Caenorhabditis elegans: one gene and its partners. The protein of the gene in region 3 binds, or shares a complex with, the protein of the main gene of each other region. Each region holds a gene or a part of one and is shown on either strand. Other genes may lie near its edges.

What was found.
Region 1: eif-3.F (region 3) and eif-3.G share a complex: the UniProt entries of both Caenorhabditis elegans proteins name them as parts of the eukaryotic translation initiation factor 3 (eIF-3) complex.
Region 2: eif-3.F (region 3) and eif-3.E share a complex: the UniProt entries of both Caenorhabditis elegans proteins name them as parts of the eukaryotic translation initiation factor 3 (eIF-3) complex.
Region 4: eif-3.F (region 3) and eif-3.C share a complex: the UniProt entries of both Caenorhabditis elegans proteins name them as parts of the eukaryotic translation initiation factor 3 (eIF-3) complex.

What each region holds. Positions count from the first base shown.
Region 1 is NC_003280.10:8,440,965-8,444,729, reverse strand, and holds eif-3.G (Eukaryotic translation initiation factor 3 subunit G), read right to left. Parts: upstream 1,964-3,765; 5' UTR 1,947-1,963; coding exon 1,930-1,946; intron 1,884-1,929; coding exon 1,831-1,883; intron 1,710-1,830; coding exon 1,630-1,709; intron 1,549-1,629; coding exon 1,166-1,548; intron 1,078-1,165; coding exon 822-1,077; 3' UTR 555-821; downstream 1-554. Other genes in the region: evl-20 (ADP-ribosylation factor-like protein 2), read right to left, coding at 1-84, 135-423; lips-10 (LIPaSe related), read right to left, coding at 2,729-2,921, 3,120-3,409. UniProt on the Caenorhabditis elegans protein: RNA-binding component of the eukaryotic translation initiation factor 3 (eIF-3) complex, which is involved in protein synthesis of a specialized repertoire of mRNAs and, together with other initiation factors, stimulates binding of mRNA and methionyl-tRNAi to the 40S ribosome.
Region 2 is NC_003279.8:10,639,976-10,643,814, forward strand, and holds eif-3.E (Eukaryotic translation initiation factor 3 subunit E), read right to left. Parts: upstream 2,307-3,839; 5' UTR 2,301-2,306; coding exon 2,211-2,300; intron 2,143-2,210; coding exon 1,867-2,142; intron 1,821-1,866; coding exon 1,344-1,820; intron 1,289-1,343; coding exon 833-1,288; 3' UTR 548-832; downstream 1-547. Other genes in the region: cdc-26 (Anaphase-promoting complex subunit CDC26), read right to left, coding at 1-2, 48-252; B0511.17 (DUF4283 domain-containing protein), read left to right, coding at 3,054-3,169, 3,604-3,730. UniProt on the Caenorhabditis elegans protein: Component of the eukaryotic translation initiation factor 3 (eIF-3) complex, which is involved in protein synthesis of a specialized repertoire of mRNAs and, together with other initiation factors, stimulates binding of mRNA and methionyl-tRNAi to the 40S ribosome.
Region 3 is NC_003280.10:9,329,820-9,334,528, forward strand, and holds eif-3.F (Eukaryotic translation initiation factor 3 subunit F), read left to right. Parts: upstream 1-1,823; 5' UTR 1,824-1,842; coding exon 1,843-1,995; intron 1,996-2,424; coding exon 2,425-2,939; intron 2,940-2,993; coding exon 2,994-3,132; intron 3,133-3,719; coding exon 3,720-3,797; 3' UTR 3,798-4,151; downstream 4,152-4,709. Other genes in the region: wbp-2 (GRAM domain-containing protein), read left to right, coding at 1-71, 168-546, 1,047-1,258; scp-1 (Sterol regulatory element-binding protein cleavage-activating protein), read left to right, coding at 4,234-4,307, 4,665-4,709. UniProt on the Caenorhabditis elegans protein: Component of the eukaryotic translation initiation factor 3 (eIF-3) complex, which is involved in protein synthesis of a specialized repertoire of mRNAs and, together with other initiation factors, stimulates binding of mRNA and methionyl-tRNAi to the 40S ribosome.
Region 4 is NC_003279.8:9,975,897-9,981,362, forward strand, and holds eif-3.C (Eukaryotic translation initiation factor 3 subunit C), read right to left. Parts: upstream 3,767-5,466; 5' UTR 3,765-3,766; coding exon 3,664-3,764; intron 3,616-3,663; coding exon 3,382-3,615; intron 3,301-3,381; coding exon 2,415-3,300; intron 2,369-2,414; coding exon 1,251-2,368; intron 1,200-1,250; coding exon 842-1,199; 3' UTR 530-841; downstream 1-529. Other genes in the region: T23D8.3 (Protein LTV1 homolog), read right to left, coding at 208-390; Beta-catenin homolog sys-1, read right to left, coding at 4,598-4,680, 4,733-5,237, 5,289-5,466. UniProt on the Caenorhabditis elegans protein: Component of the eukaryotic translation initiation factor 3 (eIF-3) complex, which is involved in protein synthesis of a specialized repertoire of mRNAs and, together with other initiation factors, stimulates binding of mRNA and methionyl-tRNAi to the 40S ribosome.

The DNA of each region.
Region 1 (3,765 bases), 890 kb from region 3:
TGGCAAGAACTAGAAGAGAAGCACCGGCTAATCGTTCTTCTCCGAGCAATTTTTTGAGTTCTTCGGAGCATTGTAGAAGACGCTCTGAAAAAAGTTTTTATAAATTTGAATGTATCCTAAATATTTGTTTCTACCTCTATCTGACGAATCTACCACCCAAATTAAAGCATCTGTGGATTCGAAATAATTCTTCCAATAAGATCTTAGACTTTTCTGTCCGCCAACATCCCATAAGTTTAGTTGAAAATCTTTGAAATGCACGGTTTTGATATCAAATCCTAATGTTGGTTCAATTGTATCAGTCGGCTCGTCGAGGAATTTTTTCATTAAAGTAGTCTTTCCAGCGTTGTCTAATCCAAGAATTAATATTCTCATCTCGCGTTCCCGAGCACGTTGCTTACGGAGAATCTTCAAGAAGCCCATCTGGAATTTTTGAGTTATAAAATGTTCTATTGCGTTTGAAAATTTTTAGCCATCAGATTTTTATTCAAACTATGATATTTTACATTGGACAGAAACCCAACTCGATTGGAAAAATAGAACGAAAAAATAACCAGGAAGAGATAGATTTATCATTGAAGAAAGAAAAGGAAATACCAACAATTTTCATAGCTAGAACTGCCTTCGTGAAAATAAACTTCACTTGCCAACTCTGATAACCATAGAAAGTAAAAATTATGATTTCAATAGGAAAGAACAACAAACATCGAATTGGTCTACAGTAATTTTCAGTTTAGACAGACACTAGCTACGAAATTATGAAGAACCAAACAGCGGGAAAACATCCAAGTACGCATAACATAAATAAATCAGAAAACGGATTAGTTGCTCGGACGTGTCCATTCGACTTTGAGAACCATATGGTACATTCGGATATCATTGAGTTCTGCAATTGCACGGGCGGCGTCATCTCTTGATTCAAATGTAACGAAGGCGAATCCTTTCGGGAGACCAGTGACTTTGTCACGGGCAATGAAGATTCGGATGACTCTTCCAATCTTTCCGAACAAATCACGAAGTTCGTCTTCGTTCATCTCTTGCGGAAGATTGGTGACACGGCATGTATTCTCATCGGATCTGAAAGTATGTTTTAAAAATAGTTCATAAATTATTCAATCATCAAGATTTTTTGGGCAACTTAGATTACAGTATTTTGAATGCTTACCGATTTCTATCGATTTGTCTTCCATCAGGACGCATTCCCATTGCCATTCTATCCTTTTCAGTATCCTTGTCAGCATCAGCTTCCTCGTCCAATTGGTACATGACCTTGTAAGGACAATGAGTACTCCAATGGTCGTTTCCTTTGCAATGACGGCAATGCTCACGGCTTGTAGTTTTAGCAGTCTGTTTGTCTTCTTGAACGTCAAGAATCTGCTCTCCTGCGCGATTTCTTGTGAATTGCATATCGACTTCTTCAGCCACGTAAGTTGTGGCAACTTGGGGTCCTGCTGGCTCTCCCTTACAACTTCCGAATTTCACCCATTTTTTGCGATCAGCGACGACTTTTGGTACACGTTTGTTGATAACTTTGAACTGTGTCACAACCTGAAATTTGGAATTGAAAGAATTCTAGAGCATAACTCGAGAATTCTGTAAGGCGAATTTTTTGGCCATCGGATAACAAACCTTCCATCTTACTCCATCAACCTCAGTGAAAGCTGTTTCGGTACGTGTTCCATCAGCTCCTTCCTGGATGTGTGGGGCGTCTGCAAAAGCGTTCATCAGTTCATACAGAAATGACTCGTTTTGTTAGGCGGTTGCACTCCAAATGCGAAAACCGTGAAAGTTCACGTAAATATTCTTGAAGACGAGAAATGAAAAACTTACTGTCTTGCTCAACGGCCTCAGCCCAGCTTACAACTTCTGGAGCGGGAGCCATTCTGAAACTTTCTTTACGTAAATAATTATTCGAGGGTGAAAACTCACGCGTTAATGCCAGTCATAGCTGTAACTTTACTACCTGAAAAACTATTGATTATGTTTTTAGCAATATAAAATAAGAAAAAATTTCAAATAAATGGTTTAACAAACTTCAGAATTAAAAAGAAACAGCTCTTCAAAACATGTAGATTTTAAAGTATTTGATTTTTTTTTCCAGAATAAGCGAATATTCAACTAGATTCATAGTTTTTAGCAAATATCTATAAAAACAAACTATAAATATGTAAAAAAAATATTCTACAACAAAAACACGGCTGGAAATCTTTTAAAAATGTAGAAATATCCCGAAAATCGAAAATTTGGGAAACAACGACGCATTGGGAAATCTGTGCATTTGCGCGTGGGATCATGTGTTTGCAGAATTGCGCACCGTATTGCCCAAAAGCCAAATGGCGCCGCCGCTCCGGTTTTCACAGATTATTCAGTCTCATCGGAAGAGATTTCTGAAGAAAATAATAAATATCTTCGTTTTCGGAGAAAATCACAACATTGTATCATGTGTCTAGATTGATCTGCGAAATATAGCAGTTTCCTATCTCTATTCTTATGAGAATTCTTACAAGTCGCCTGATGGACTTGATCACTTGGACGAATTTAACATTCTGATCATTTTCGTTCAAAATACCAATTTAATCAACGATTGTACTGATTTATTAAACTTTTGAACAATATACACACAAAGTTTTGAATGAAAGCAACGAGTTCGAATCAATATAAACAAGGAAATTAAAGAGATCACAAGTGAAATTTGATGTCAATTAGTATTTTTGGTGAGATTTTGTTTTTATGAGGTTTGAAGAGCCCTCCATTGATCTTCTGTAGTTCCACCAATAACTGCTCCATGCATTAGTCTAGTTTTGACGATTGAAGTGGCTCCTTCTAATGGTGAGGACATCTCTCCACACGTATTTCTGAGTCCAATAACTTCGTCAGCTACGGAATAAATGGCGAACATGTTCTTTCCGTATTGGAACGGCCTGAAAAAAATGTTGACTTGTAAAATCATGAAATTAATGTTTATGTGTACAGAAAACAACGTAATTAAATTTAAGTATGCCCTAGTATACCCAAAAAATGAAAAGCCTTGCTGGCTTAGTGGCTAAAAGTTTTGCCTTTCACGCACACCTGCATGAGTTCAATTCCCTGTGCTGGGATACTTTTTTTGCGAAACTTACTGTGAGTTGATCTCTTGTAAGAACTTGGAACGGCAATCCAAACCATGTGTTAAACTACAGATTCCATTCACAAATGGCTGCTTGGCGCACATAATAGCTCCGTGATTTGCTCCACCAACAGAAACATAATTATGAATTAGATGATTAATTGGGCGTCCCAAATTGACTCCACTATCAACACAGTGTCCTCCAAGAATAGCTTTTCTGGTAATTGGAGATCCCATGGAGCAAGCAATGATGTTTACTGGTTTCTGAGTGTATTCATGAACAGCAAGAATGAGAGTGCGAACCTGAAATTTTAGAGTTACAGTTTGGATTGCAATATTCCTTTCGTTGATTGTAATCCCTATTTCACCTATAGATTCCCCTTCATCTTTTCTTTTAGAATATCCTTCTCAATCCGGATCCCTTCCGAAAGATGTCTACCCAACCAGTCATTATAAATCTGTGTTTTGTGTAGTTTGTAAACAATCCCTTCTTTTTTCGGGTCACGTCCTTTTTCCGTTTCAACGTCACTCCGGCCGTTATCAATCGGGTCTTGAAAGATCACCGATCATCCCTTTGTTCTCTATTTATCTATATTAACAGACGAGATCAAACCCAGAAGTTATAGAAATTCCCCCACAAGGCCAGTCTAACTGTGACC
Region 2 (3,839 bases), on a different chromosome or scaffold from region 3:
CTCTGAAAAAGCTAGGTTAGGAAAAATTAAATAAATCATCATCTCACTTCTATCCGCCGATCTGAGATTTCTCCTAGTTATGCCACGTGGAGGCTCACTCTGATCCATCGGCTCCATTTCGTCAATATCCATCATTTCGCATTTTGGCACGATCACAGCTGGAAGTACCCTCTTGTTCAGTTGATCTGTCAGCCATTGGATATCGTCCTCACACAATTCTAATTGTGTTAATGGACGCCGTAACATTGACATACTGAAAAAGAGTGAGATAAATTATTTAATTTCATAAAAACTGTGAATTGGCGAAAATGTGTATTTTTGGAGATTTAATTTTTAAACGGCAAAATCGAACCTATGGCTTAAATATTTCTGTAATTAGCGAAAAAGTAAGGCAAATTCAACAGAAATGACAAAATATACAGATGGAAGTGTTTTTCCTCACAAAAAATAATTTCAAACAATTTCTCGGCAACGGCAATAAATATATATTGAAAGGTTTCATAAACCTAGATTCTAACAATAATCAAACCATGATAAAAGAGAAAATATATTATTTTAACCAATTAGAACCGAACCTCCAGCCCCTGCACTAACGAAAGAAGGGTCAGAGACAACAAAAAGAAACAACAGGGATATAAGGAAAGTTTAGAAAAGACAGAATTCGAGTAGTCCTCGTAAAAAACCGAGGAGCTGAACAAATAAGAAAGAAAAATAATACTGAAAACTGAGAGATGACAGTCTTAATCTCCGTGTTTGCCACATCTCAATTTTCAGAACAGCATCAGATGAAGAAAAAGGAAAAAACATTCAAAACCGGAAGAACTTGTAAAGCCTAAGTCGCCTTGACTTTGTCTTGACGACCTTTTTCCAATTGAAGGGCGATTTGTTGAGCGCGGAGGGTCAATCTCTTCGTGTTTTCCATGACTTGCTCGTGGATGCTGACGGATTTGACACCCATCACCACTTGTCCCAACTTGCTGTCAATTTTAGCTCCTTCGATACGATACGTTCTGATCAAGTCAACAATCCAGCGTTCAGCTTCCTCTTGGCTCATATTCAATCGTCGTGCTAGCATTTCTATGGTAATGCACTGATGAATGCGGCAGAACATCTCGAAAATGAGAAGGCGTGCAGACTCGCGGAAATCTCCAAGGACAGCAGTCAGGAAGAAATCATTGGAGAGAACCTCTTCGCACTTTTGAAGCATCTCTTGAGCCTCGTCGAAATCATATTTGATGTAGAGACAGGTGAGGAAATCAGTGACGGGATCCTTGTAACTATGGCGTTCCTGTAGAAAAACAAATAATTAATCATATTTTCATATAGAAAATAGTTAAACTCACGATGTCAATGACCTTCACCAAATCTTTCAAGCTGTTCTTCTGGCGGCTTTTGCTGGTAACAACGGCAACAGCCAGATAGCGGAGCAAATGTGGCGCCAAAACTTGGATTGCATTCAAATAAGGTTGCTGGTTCAAGAACATTTCGATAATCTCATCACGCCCTTTTGGATAATTGTAGTAGACGAAAAGTGCCCAGTGCATAAGCCACGCACGTTGCGTAACAAGTTCCCATTCCGTGTCGAATGGATTAGCATCGATGTAAGCACGAAGTTTCAGCAAATCGTCACGAGCATGTTCCCATTCTTGGAGCAGAATTTCACTGGCCAACTTTCCGTAAAGAGCGTTCAAATAGTTTGGATCCGCTTGATTGACAAGGTTGCGGTAGTAGTAAAGGCACACGGATGCGACGGTGTAATTTCCGCATTCGTACATGAACTTGCTGTACTTGAAGAGGGTATCGACCATGTCTACTGTGAACTGCAAGAATTAAGATTATTTTCGAAACTGCAAAGCAAAAACGTACATTGTGGTTTTGAGTGAGATGCTCCAAAATACGGACATTTCCATCTCTTTCTCTGTTGTTATCCATCATTTCCTTGACTTCCGGTATTTCCAAAATGGCAACAACGGAGTCCACCTTGCTTTTCAGCTCATCTCTCTCCTTGATAATTTGCTTCTTCTTAGCCTCAATTGCAGCCGGAATAGGTTTTCCATTGTAGGTCTCTATAACACTATCAATCATATTGGTCTTGGTCAAAAGCTGGCGGTGCATTTCGGTCAGGGATTTCTCATCGTAAATCTGCAATTATCATTGATATAAATAAATTCAGCTATTTCAGAATCAACAATTTATTGTTTAAATCTTACTCCTCGTGGTTCGATGAACTCCAAGAGCGGAATGATCAAATGAAGATCGAGAAAAGGCGCCATGCGCTGAGTCAGGTCGAATGTCGACATTTTTACCTGTAAAATAAGCGTATTAGTATAGTAATATGTTCTAATAAAACTCCAATCAATTTTCTTAACGGAAAACATAAATAAAACAAAAACAATGAAATTGCAGAAAGAAAATCGAGAAATTAGGAGAAATTCGCCGGGAAAGGAGGAAATGATAAACAACGCGCGCTATGGAATATCGGAGTGTCGTTGCTACTGCCTGCCAACACGAGCCACCAGCGAAATGAGAACTGCGAGAAGTAGAACTACGAGAAGAATAACCGAAAACTGCAATTTGCGACATTTGAAAAATATTTCGGAGTTTTTTGGTTCTAAAATTTCAGTTAAAAGTTTTTTAATTTAAAATATTCAAATTGAGAAATTACGAACGAATCATAATGTTCCTGGGATTAGGAAGAGTTACAAGATATTAAGACCCGAGCCCGTATCGAGACCCACCCCGAAAAACATTGTGTGGCTTTAAAGCAATGCTTAAATATTGTAATTGTGAAATGTCAGTTTAAAATCACATATTAATTTTTCGAGTGGGTCCCGCAACGATCTCAATAATAGTGTGCCAAATTTTACCGATGTGTCAGAGACACAAGTTTTATGAAATTTCAAATTTTGAAATGCACAGAAAAGCGAACAGTAAAATTTAGAATGCTTTATTATTAATTTTTGGGAACAGACGAGACCGTAAATTCATGTGGTGTCAGGTTGCCCCATTTCGGTTTGATCAACATTAAATTCGGGTATTTGATGTCAGGAGGAATGCCGAATCTACGAAGAATACGATTCAATTCATATGGACCTCAAAACTATGAAGGAGTAATGCATCGAATTATTCACAGACCGTGGAATGGAAAGCGAAGACCAAAAGTGTTCAAGTGAGAATATAAATTATTTGTCGTAGAGCTGGCGAGTGGGCTACATGAAGAGCCCTGATTCTTGAGGGTAGTGTGCCACCCAGTTGAAACAAAACCTGACTATATAGTTTGACTTGTGGGTCTTGGTTACACATATTGTTTCTAAAGATCTTGACATACCGTATTTCCTCTATTAGTTCAACAGACTACTTTACTTTGAAAGGTTATATCTCGGTTCATTTCAAAGATATCATAAAACTATTAACTACAAAACGATATAAAAAGAACTACCAAATATTTCATCAGTTAATTATTTTTGAAAACAACCGAGATATAAGCTCTCAACCGTGAACGATGGGGTGCCATACTAATTGAAGAAATTCTTGCTACCTATCTACTGTAGAGATTAAAGGAAAAAAGCTAAATTATTTTATTTGAAAAATAATAACATTCAGATACAAAATAGACGAATTGGATTGTACACTTGGATGGGATATTGAGAGCGACGATGGACAAATTGCAACCGTCAATTTTATCGAAGAATGCCTTGATTTTGTTGTATGGAAAAACGATAACTATTAATTCAATTTAAGCCAGTTGCTGTTATGTCAGAATACACTGAAATTGACCAAGATATCAAAATAAAAAAGGCAAACAATTTTTAGATCTCAATTTTCAAATAACCGCTAAA
Region 3 (4,709 bases):
TGTATAATGGAGAAACCATCGTGATTTTTGCACAAGGAGTAGTAATGACACTAGGAACCAGTGAAAATGAGGTAATTTATTGCAGTATTTTTTTCATATCTTTTAAACACCAAAAATCTTCATTAGCACAAATGCTGAAAATTATAATCATATTTTCGAATTTATAGAATTTGGAAGGACGTCGAACGGGAACCATCTACCTCACATCACACAGAATCATTTTCATGCCAGACCCTGGAGATTGGCTGAAATCATTTGAAATTCCATTCAACAGTATGCAAGATGTTAACTTAAACCAGCCGATTTTCGGAGCCAACTACCTATGTGGAATCGCCTCGGCTGTTCAAGGAGGACAAATGCGCGGAGAGGTTAAATGGAGAATGACATTCAACAGAGGGGGATGTATTGAATTCGGGCAATCTCTATTGCAAGCAGTCGAAAGAGCTGTTCGAATGAGACCAGAGAATGCTCCACCTGCATATTCTCCACCAATTGGAGATTTCTACTCTGCACCGCCAGCTTATTATCAGCCGTCGCCGGATCAAGGTAAGATTTTTTGAACATTAAAAATAATCCTGAATTCGAAATTAAAATTACCTAAAAAATGTTAAGCGTAATCATTAGAGATTTGTATGAATTTGAACATTTTTCACTTTTTTGAAAAACGAAAAAAAAAGGAATCCAAGTTTGAAACATTTTTTAAAATTTTTTAAAGATTAATTTTTAAAAAAACGAGTTTTTTCTTTTTTTTTTCGATCACTTTTTGTTTAAGAGAGATTTTTTGCTAAAAATACCAAAAATCTTCAGTTCTGGTCAGACAGTTTTGCAAAAATGAAAACGTGCTCTAATGCAACTTTCTTCCACCTCGTTGCATTTTTGTTTCACAATTTTGTTGATTTTTGAATTGATTTTACCATCTTTCTTTGGATTTAATGGTTTTCTTATCAAATTCGTTAGAAAAATAATATTAAACCGCATTTAACTTTTTTTTTATTTTAAAATTATTCCCCGGTTAATCCGATTAATAATAGATTTCACATTTTCAGGACCAAATGGTTTCAATCCAACCACCGATTCGTTCCCAGATCAGCCGAACCCATCACGAGTTTTCATGAGCTCAGCACCACCACCATATCCAGGAATCGGACCAGAACGCGGCCCACATCCAACTGAAGAACTTCATGTTGCTGGACAATTTGAAGCACCACCAGCTTATGGTTCAGGAGAAACAGCCGATGGATTGAGGCGAAGAAATTAACTTGTAAATTTAACAACAAAAAATGACATTAGAGAAAGTGTTTAGTTCAAAATTATGGGGAAACACGTAGAAAACAAAGCCAATTTACCCATAATTTTTTTCCGCATCGAAAAATGATTCCAAATAAGCTCAGAAGTCTAGTTGCACACAAAAACTATCTAAAATTCCACCATTTATTTTTTGTTTTTTTTTTTAATTTTTGCACGTCTCTCTAAAAATCTCATGTGAATATAAGTAAAAGTTGTGATAAAACTATAAACTTTCGGTAGACTAAGTCTATGCCCTCTCTCTCTTGATGCCCCCTCTCGTTCCCAGGATAAAGTATATATGTATAAGTGGAATTATATCTCTTTCTCTGATTCACAGAACATTTATTTTATTTTCTCTTTTTTTTCGTTGAAAAACACAATTTTTCTTTTAATTGTAAATAAATAAATAATTTAAAATATTTATTAAGAACTTTATATTTTTTATTGATTTTTTCAAAACCATTTTTCAGTTTTCAGCTGAATTTACTATTTTGATTCAGATTATTTCTTTAATTTAGTTTTTTTTTCAATTACAGGGTTCAGAAAAAAGTCAATATGGCTTCGAATTTAACTGTCAATGTCCACCCGGGAGTCTACATGAATGTTGTCGACACTCATATGAGACGTACCAAGAGTTCTGCGAAAAATACAGGACAGGAAAAGTGCATGGGAACACTTATGGGATACTATGAGAAAGGATCGATTCAGGTAAAAATATTTATAATTACAGAAAAAAGAGCCTAATTTTTTGAAAAAACTGAAATTTTGCAAGCTTATTGGTGTCTGGAACTGTATTTAATCTAATTTTTTTAATTTTATGTAAATACCATCGACCGAAAAAGTATCTAAAACAACGAATAAAAACTCAAAATGACCGAATGCTCAAGTGCTCACACAAAAATATGCCAAAATTTTGAAAAAAGTATACTTTCAGCTAAAATCTTCAATTTTGCAAGCTTTCCCGTGTCACAAAGGTCGGAACTTAATAATATTCAATTATTACAATTTATTGCATTTTTGTGGAACTAGAAGCAAGTTCTGGCCGCTGTAACCCTGAAAAGTTTGCAAAATGGATGATTTTCGCTAATAATATTTTTTTTGGAATTCATGATATTTTCTCCAATTTTTATTTTCCAGGTCACAAATTGTTTCGCGATCCCTTTCAATGAGAGCAACGACGATTTGGAAATCGATGATCAATTCAATCAACAAATGATCTCTGCATTAAAGAAAACTTCTCCAAATGAGCAACCAGTTGGATGGTTCCTTACAACATCTGACATTACTTCTTCGTGTCTCATCTATCACGACTACTATGTACGTGTCATCACTGAAGCATCGGCTCGTCGTGAATCTCCACCAATTGTCGTTTTGACAATTGACACGACTTTCTCTGGAGATATGTCAAAGCGTATGCCAGTTCGTGCCTATCTTCGCTCAAAAGCCGGAATTCCTGGAGCTGCTGGACCACACTGTGCTATTTTCAACCCACTTCGTGTCGAATTAGCTGCATTCCCGGGAGAACTGGTTGCTATGCAACTTATCGAAAAAGCTTTGGATTCCAGAAGAAGAGAGGCAACTCTTGAAAGTGGATTGGAGCAATTGGAGACGAGCACAGCTCAGATGATTGAGTGGTTGGAGAGAATGTTGCAGTGAGTTTTAACATTTAAAATTATCTTAATTGGAGAATAAACCGTGATTTTCAGTTACGTGGAAGATGTTAACAAGAACGGTGAGAAGCCAGGAGATGCTCAAATCGGTCGTCAACTCATGGATATTGTCACTGCCTCGTCAAACAATATGCAGCCAGAGAAGCTCGATACTCTTGTCAAGAATACTCTTCGTGTAAGTTTTCAGCCAAAAATATTTAAAAAGCGAGAAATGAAAAGTTGTGTAATATTCGTACGTGATTTTGAAAATTTCGAATATCTTGATCAAAATAGTTTTTTTTAATAACCTCAAAAAGTTTTTTTGTTGGAAATTAGTAAAGTTTATACGTTTTTCAGTTTAGTACAGAATTGTTAGTTTTTTTTTCTCAAAAATTGAGGAAATTAAATCTTTAGCTAAAAACACGAAAAATCTGCAAATTTAGGGAATGCCTATACATTTTCTGTGCCGCGCGAAACCCGGTAGATGTCGGGATATGATATCCGCTACCCTCCCGAATTTGAAATTAGCGTTTCCAATTTTTTGAAATTTATGCATACAATTAAATTGTCTTTATTATTATCTCAATTAGAGCATTGCACAAACACATAAATAGAAACTTGTAAATAAAAAACTTGTGAAACCTATCTTCTCAATGACCAAAAACCATGAAAAATGGGTGTATACTCATGTAAACAATATGCCCGCGAGAAAAAGCAGTTGACGAGAATCTAAAAACAAAAAAAAGCTAAACCTCTTCAAATATTTGTTTTCTTCTTTTTCAGGACTACGTGATGGTTTCGTACCTTGCCAAATTGACTCAAACTCAACTTCAAGTTCACGAACGTCTTGTGTCGGCCTAATTTTTGTTCTCCACACTATAAACTCGTTTTTGTCCCGATTTTTTCTAATATATTTTTTTTTGGTTGGCGTTTGTTGTTTTTCTTTCCATCCATTTATATCATCCTTCTTCCAATTCTTAAAATATTTCTCCCCATGTTTTCTATCTATCTGCCTTTTTTTTTTAATGGATTGTCTGAAATTAGTATTTGTTGTTTTCTTTTTCTCATAATTTAGCCTTCTTATTGATTTGGTTTTAAAGAAAAATCAATGTTTGAAGGTTTCTGATGATGATCACTTTCTATCGGATAAACCTCGTTGTTAAAGGCGTCTGATGGGATGACTGAATTGTTTTTTGCATGAATTTCTATATCTGGGCTCGGAATAATCTGATTTTGAAATTATCACTAGAGCGTTCAGATCTACATGAGAAAATAATTTTGAAAAAATCGATAAAAAATGAACGATCGAGTGAAAATTCGATGGAAGGAGGCTAAGGAGAGAATTGGAAACGCATATCACGATTATGGACGGTAAATATTTCGAAAAATTATCATGGATTTTAACATAAATCCGAAAAAAAACGAGTGTCCATGTACGAGAGATTTTGTACTACACTCGGACAAGTGTGCATTTTACAAAATCATAGTTTCACAGTTTTTGGCTATTTTTCCTCATTCATTTTGCATTAAATATATACTTTTGCATTAAAATTTTTGCATTACTTGTCCGAGTGTAGTATAATTTTTTTCGACATTCGCATGCTTTTTGTGTCCAATTCATCAGTATTTCTTAATAGTCTATCTGAAAATTTTTGAATAAAGTAGAAGTATAGTTCTTAATAATTTCTCTAGCAAAAAAACCAAGTTTCCGAAAATAAAATTTTTCAGATTATGTGCCGCCCATCCAAAAGCCTGCCTCTCAATGTCCCTTCT
Region 4 (5,466 bases), on a different chromosome or scaffold from region 3:
ATCCATAAAATTCAATTTTATGAAATAATGTAAAAAATGCTGATTAAAAAAACATAGAAATTTTTTACTTAAAAGAAGTACAAAGACCAAAATTTTAAGCTATTTTTTGACATATCCTAAAATCTTTTGATTTCATTGAAAAATCGAAAAACAAACACTTTTTTTTAAGTTTCGGTATTTGATCAAATTGATTTTAAGATGACAAACCTCATTAACAGCTCGCATGTGCTGCAAATAATCATAATCATCGTCGTAGTAGACTCCATACTTTTGCTGTTCCTCCAAATGTTCTTGAGTTGGCTTGAATCGTTCACTTCTTTCCCTATTATCCGGAACCAATCGAAAACTTTGACTGGCTTTCTTATCAATGAATGCCTTCCTTTTACCCATTTTGAGGCGAAATTTATGTTTCCAGTAACCTGAAATATGAATTCTATGTTAATTTTTTGTTACTTTTATTGTTGGATCTGAGAAAATAACTGATTGGACAGAACCGGGGCTCATAAAAAATTACTTAAAATTGGACGAATCAAATTAAATATTTCATTAAAATAATATCCGGCAACCCAATATAAATAATTAGCAAAAACAAAACAGTATGGAAAGAGTATAACTTAAACACTACTAACCGGAAACGAAAAATGAGAGCTTTAAAGTTCAGATCTCACACTGAACAAGGAAAAGTGGGAAAGGGTGGGGGATTACCAAAAAAACTGATCAATTAAATAAAAGATTCAACAAGTATTGGCGCCTGCAAAAAGTTTTTGAGACTAATTGCAGGCGCCATGAAAGGCGTATTAGCGGGTTCCACGAATGGGAGAGACGATTGAAAAATGGATATTTAGAAGGCTCGTGGCTTTTGAGGATGACGACGTTGCTGACCACCTTGAGATCCCCAATTTCCTCGCTTTCCGTCTTGTCCTTGTCCTCCACGTCGTTCTCCTTGGTATCCACCAGATCCTTTCTGCTTATCTCCTTGCCGCTCGTTCCTTCCTGGAAACCACGATCCTGGACCTTGATAACCACCACGTCCAGTGCGCGGCTCCAGAATTTGTTCATTGTTTTCGGCAAGAGTTTGAAGTTTGTCAGACAAGTTGAGAGCAAGCATTTGAAGTCTGGAAGGTTCAACACGGTGCATGATGAGACAGTCGGTGGGCTCGTCAAGTGTAGCCGAAAGTTCCTCTTGGATGATCATTTTACTGAAAAAATAAAAAAAAATTATGTACTGTCTAGTAAAATATTACAAATACCTGATGATGCTATGAACATCTTTCTTTGAAAGTTCGAACAAATCCGCAAGCTTCTTGAGCGAAACAGTGGCATAAACTGTAGAGTATGTGAGCAAATAAGTTCTGAGAGATTCCTCTTGAATACGTCTCACAACCATTCCCTTAACAGTCTCAGCGTTATGGAAAAGATTCCAGACCTTCTGGTTCATCTTGTCATTGACGATATAGTCTTGACACTTTTTCCAATCTCCATTCAACATTGCTTTCGATGCGGCGACAACATGTTCACGGGTATTCTCTGGTGGTCCAGTGAGAGAAGCTTTCTCGCTTTGCTTCAATTGGTAATGGAAACTTCTGCTGAGCATACGACGACGCATTTCGAATTCGCAACTAGCCATGTGTGGAATTTCGAGAAGCATCGAACAGATCAGATAGACACACTCCATAAGTTCAACATTGATGTGCATATGATATGGAACTTGACGGGAACGATCAATCTTCTCTTGTTCAGCAGTCTTTTCGTGCTGACGAGTTCCAACAGCTTGAGCAAGCAACTCCTTGGCACGTTGGGTATTTTGAATTTCAGATAGTCCTTGATGAGCTTCGCGAATGAAACCGTGTCGGAAAGCGCAGAGACCGAGTTGGCAGATAGTTCTGTTGTAGAGGATTTGAGTGTCGACATCAGAATGATCAACGATAGCTTGCATGTGACTCATAAGAAGAAGATCTCTGGCGCGGTGCCACTTGTCATGAACAGCCAGATAGTAAACATGGCAGAGCATAGCACGTTGTCTCAATCGTTTCTCATCATCAAGTGTATAGATCTTATTACACAAGTAATCCATCAACTTTCCAGCATCCTCCTCATTTTGATCTTGATATTTGTAGTAGGCATGCTCGATGCGCATCATGTACACTTTGCAAACTTCGTGTTTATCGAAAATGCCAGAATCGTTACGAAGTTCAACGTACTTCTCGGCCTTTTCAATGAGTGAGCACATATCCTTCTCGGCCTTCAACTTCTCGATATAATCATTGGAATGACAATCGGCGTTTTGAAGAATTTTAGCCAACTCTCCGTCCAATCTTTGCACAGCAATCAGAATACTTCCTTGAATGCGATACTCTTGAGTGTCATCCTGCAAATATTAGGATTTTTATTAATTTTAGGAATGCAAGTATTACCTTCAGATTTTCATCTTCTTCAGCATATGTCACAGATAACTTTACACGATCAGTTCCGATGAGAAGATCGAGCAAGCTGTTGACGGTTTGCAGAGTGGTCATGAATGTTTCGTACTCCATGTGATCACTAATTTTAGCGTTCAATTCGAAAAGAGCCGAGATTATGCAGAAACTGATTTTAACGTTGATTCCTAGACCAAGTTCTTTCTCTTCCGATACCTCCAAAAGTTTTCGAAGATTAGCAACATGTTGATTACGATCTGTCGTTCGTTTTCCACGAGCCGACATAACCTCATTGAGTTTCTTAATCATAACGTCATGAGTAACTTCTTCCTTGGGATCAAAGTGAACAACAGACTTCTCACGATTAACTGGAGTCCAATCCGCATCATCGTCTTCCTCGACAGCTTCTTTGACTCTGATAACTCTCTTCTTCTTTTCTTTCTTGTCATCTTTGCTCTCCACGCGGAATTCTTTTTTCAAGAAATACCTACGAAGTTGCTCCATCTTAGTCACACTGTCTTCGTCATCAGAAGAATTGGATTCTGGTTCAGAAGACCAGTTAGAGGAGTCGTCATCGTCGCTGTCACTGTCACTATCGCTCACTGCAGCTTTCTCAGATGGTTTTCCAGGTGACTTTTCAGCCTTCGATTCAGAAACCTCTCCAAAATCATCGTCGTCTTCATCTTCTGGAGTTTCATATCCATCCTCGTCAGGATTAACGCGATAATCGGTAACAAGATCTTGCAGTTGTTGATCCTTGATGTATTTTTTCAGTTTTTGACGAAGAGGTGGAAGAGCTTTTGCGTTGTTCTTCGAAAGAGCAGATTTAGCATCTTTATCATCCCATAATTTATTTACGTAGTCTTCGATTTCCACAAGAGACCTGAAATATTTTATATCAACTACTAAGTTTTCATTAGCATTTTATTTTATGATGTGACTGTAAATTAAAAATATATCTCACCTTATGTAAAATCTTGGATTTGCGACATTCTGACGTTGAAAGACCGTCTTGGACTTATCATAAGCTTTGGCCAGAGAATCAAAACCTGTTAGAAGTCTGTTCAGATCTTTGTTGCTCTTTGCATCTCGATTTTGCTTGATAATTCCTTTCAGCTCATCGAATTTTTTGTCCTTTTGGGCACGAACAACACGCTTCTCATCTTCTTCAGGACCGGCCATGAAATCGAGATCATCGCTGAAAGATTAATCAATCTTTTGGAATTACTTTGGAGATTATAATTACCGAAATTTCGCGCTTTTGTTCACTTTTTGATCCTCTACCTCATCCTCGCTGGACGAAGTGTCGGAATCAGAGTCCTCCTTAGCATGGAAGAAGCGAGACATTGCTGAAACAAAATTGACATTATGAAATCCCAAAACAAGAAGCAAACAAGCAGTAGATACACAATTAGACAGAAATTCCAATATTATTTAAAATTTAAAATGAATAAAACGATTTTCCCTTTGAAAACAATTCAAAAAACAGCTAATGGGTCAATATTTAGCTGAAATAAATTTAAGTGGAAGTGGAACATAAGAAAATCGTTGCAAGACCTTACTGGCGCGTTTCGCGTGCACGGGAGATGCGTCAGCACTCGCCACTTGCGCCAGTGGGCATTTGCGCGGAGATTTAAATAATAATTTATTATTTAATCACAATTCCACAATTTCAGGTTAATTTTACAGAACGAGAATAGTCTCTAAATAACTTATATATGAACCGAGTATTCAGTAAATCAATCCAACATTTAAAAAGTTTTATAATTTTATTTTCTATTCAACGTAAGAACATCGAAGAAAGACGTATATAAGACAGGAATTTGATAGTTAAAATGCAAAGATAATCGCGAAAATGTTTTGTATTCAAAAATATTATGCTACAGACGTAAACAAAGAAACAACAAAAAGAAAGAGATAAACCGAGGGCAAAATGAGAAGAAATGTGCTATAAATTAGGAAAATCGGAACGTTTTGTTTGTTCTAAACTCGAATTCATATGAAATCGTCAAGAATGAGGAAATTTGGGACCGGTAGAAAATGAAGAAAAGAAGAGAGAACATATTTTAATCAATAATACGACTATGTACACGCTAAAACAGCTTCCAACTAGACGAATTAATGGCTTTGAACGGGGATTTTTGGGATGAAAGATGGAGTTGACAGATTTATCCATTAAATCAGAAATATTCTCGATTTGAAAAAATACCAGCAAGAAGGTCGTTTTCAGGGAAGCGACTCAGCAGAGAATTCGCGGCTTTAGCTGAAAAAATGCATTGTAATTTAATTTATGAACACATTTTCGAGACACATACCTATATCTGAATTTCTATGATTCGTCAGTCCTTCCAACATCGGCCTGTCAATCGTCCAAATATCCGCACGCGTCGGGCAGTGCTCCAAAATCTTGTCACATACAACAAGCACATTGTGAATAAACGTTGGTTTCACTTGATTTCCGTTCAGCAGATTTAATGGGCAATCAATTGAATACGAGTACTGTGCCACCTCTTTTTCAGCTCCACATTGCTCCATGAGCACAAGCAATAAACTTATGGTACGTTCAACAAGTTGCTGCTTTGTGGATTGAGTTCTTGTATTGTTCGGTTGACGAAAAACCCATGAATAGGCGGCACAAATGTGTCCTATTAAATTTTCCTTCCGATTTTCATCAATAACATTCAGAACACCGTCTTTTGGAACAAATGGTGTTCGGAGTAACAGTATAAAAGATCGGAGAATTGTACTTCGAAGTTCCAATAAACCAGGTGTATCCATTCCTTCACATGATAAACAACTCATCAGTTTTTTCAGAATATCCTGAAATAATTTAATTCATTTTTATATCGTTTTTCAAATTCCAAAACGTACAATTTCGATGAATTTGCAGACCTGCTGCTTTTCATTCGGTCCAGCCGTTTTCGTTTCTCCATTGGGCGTTGGAATCCACATCATCAGGAAATTGTTCAATGTACGCAGACAATTGCAAATAATTTCACAAACTCGATTTCTTTTCGGAGCATCGGTAAGTTCATCTAGTCGTGGATAC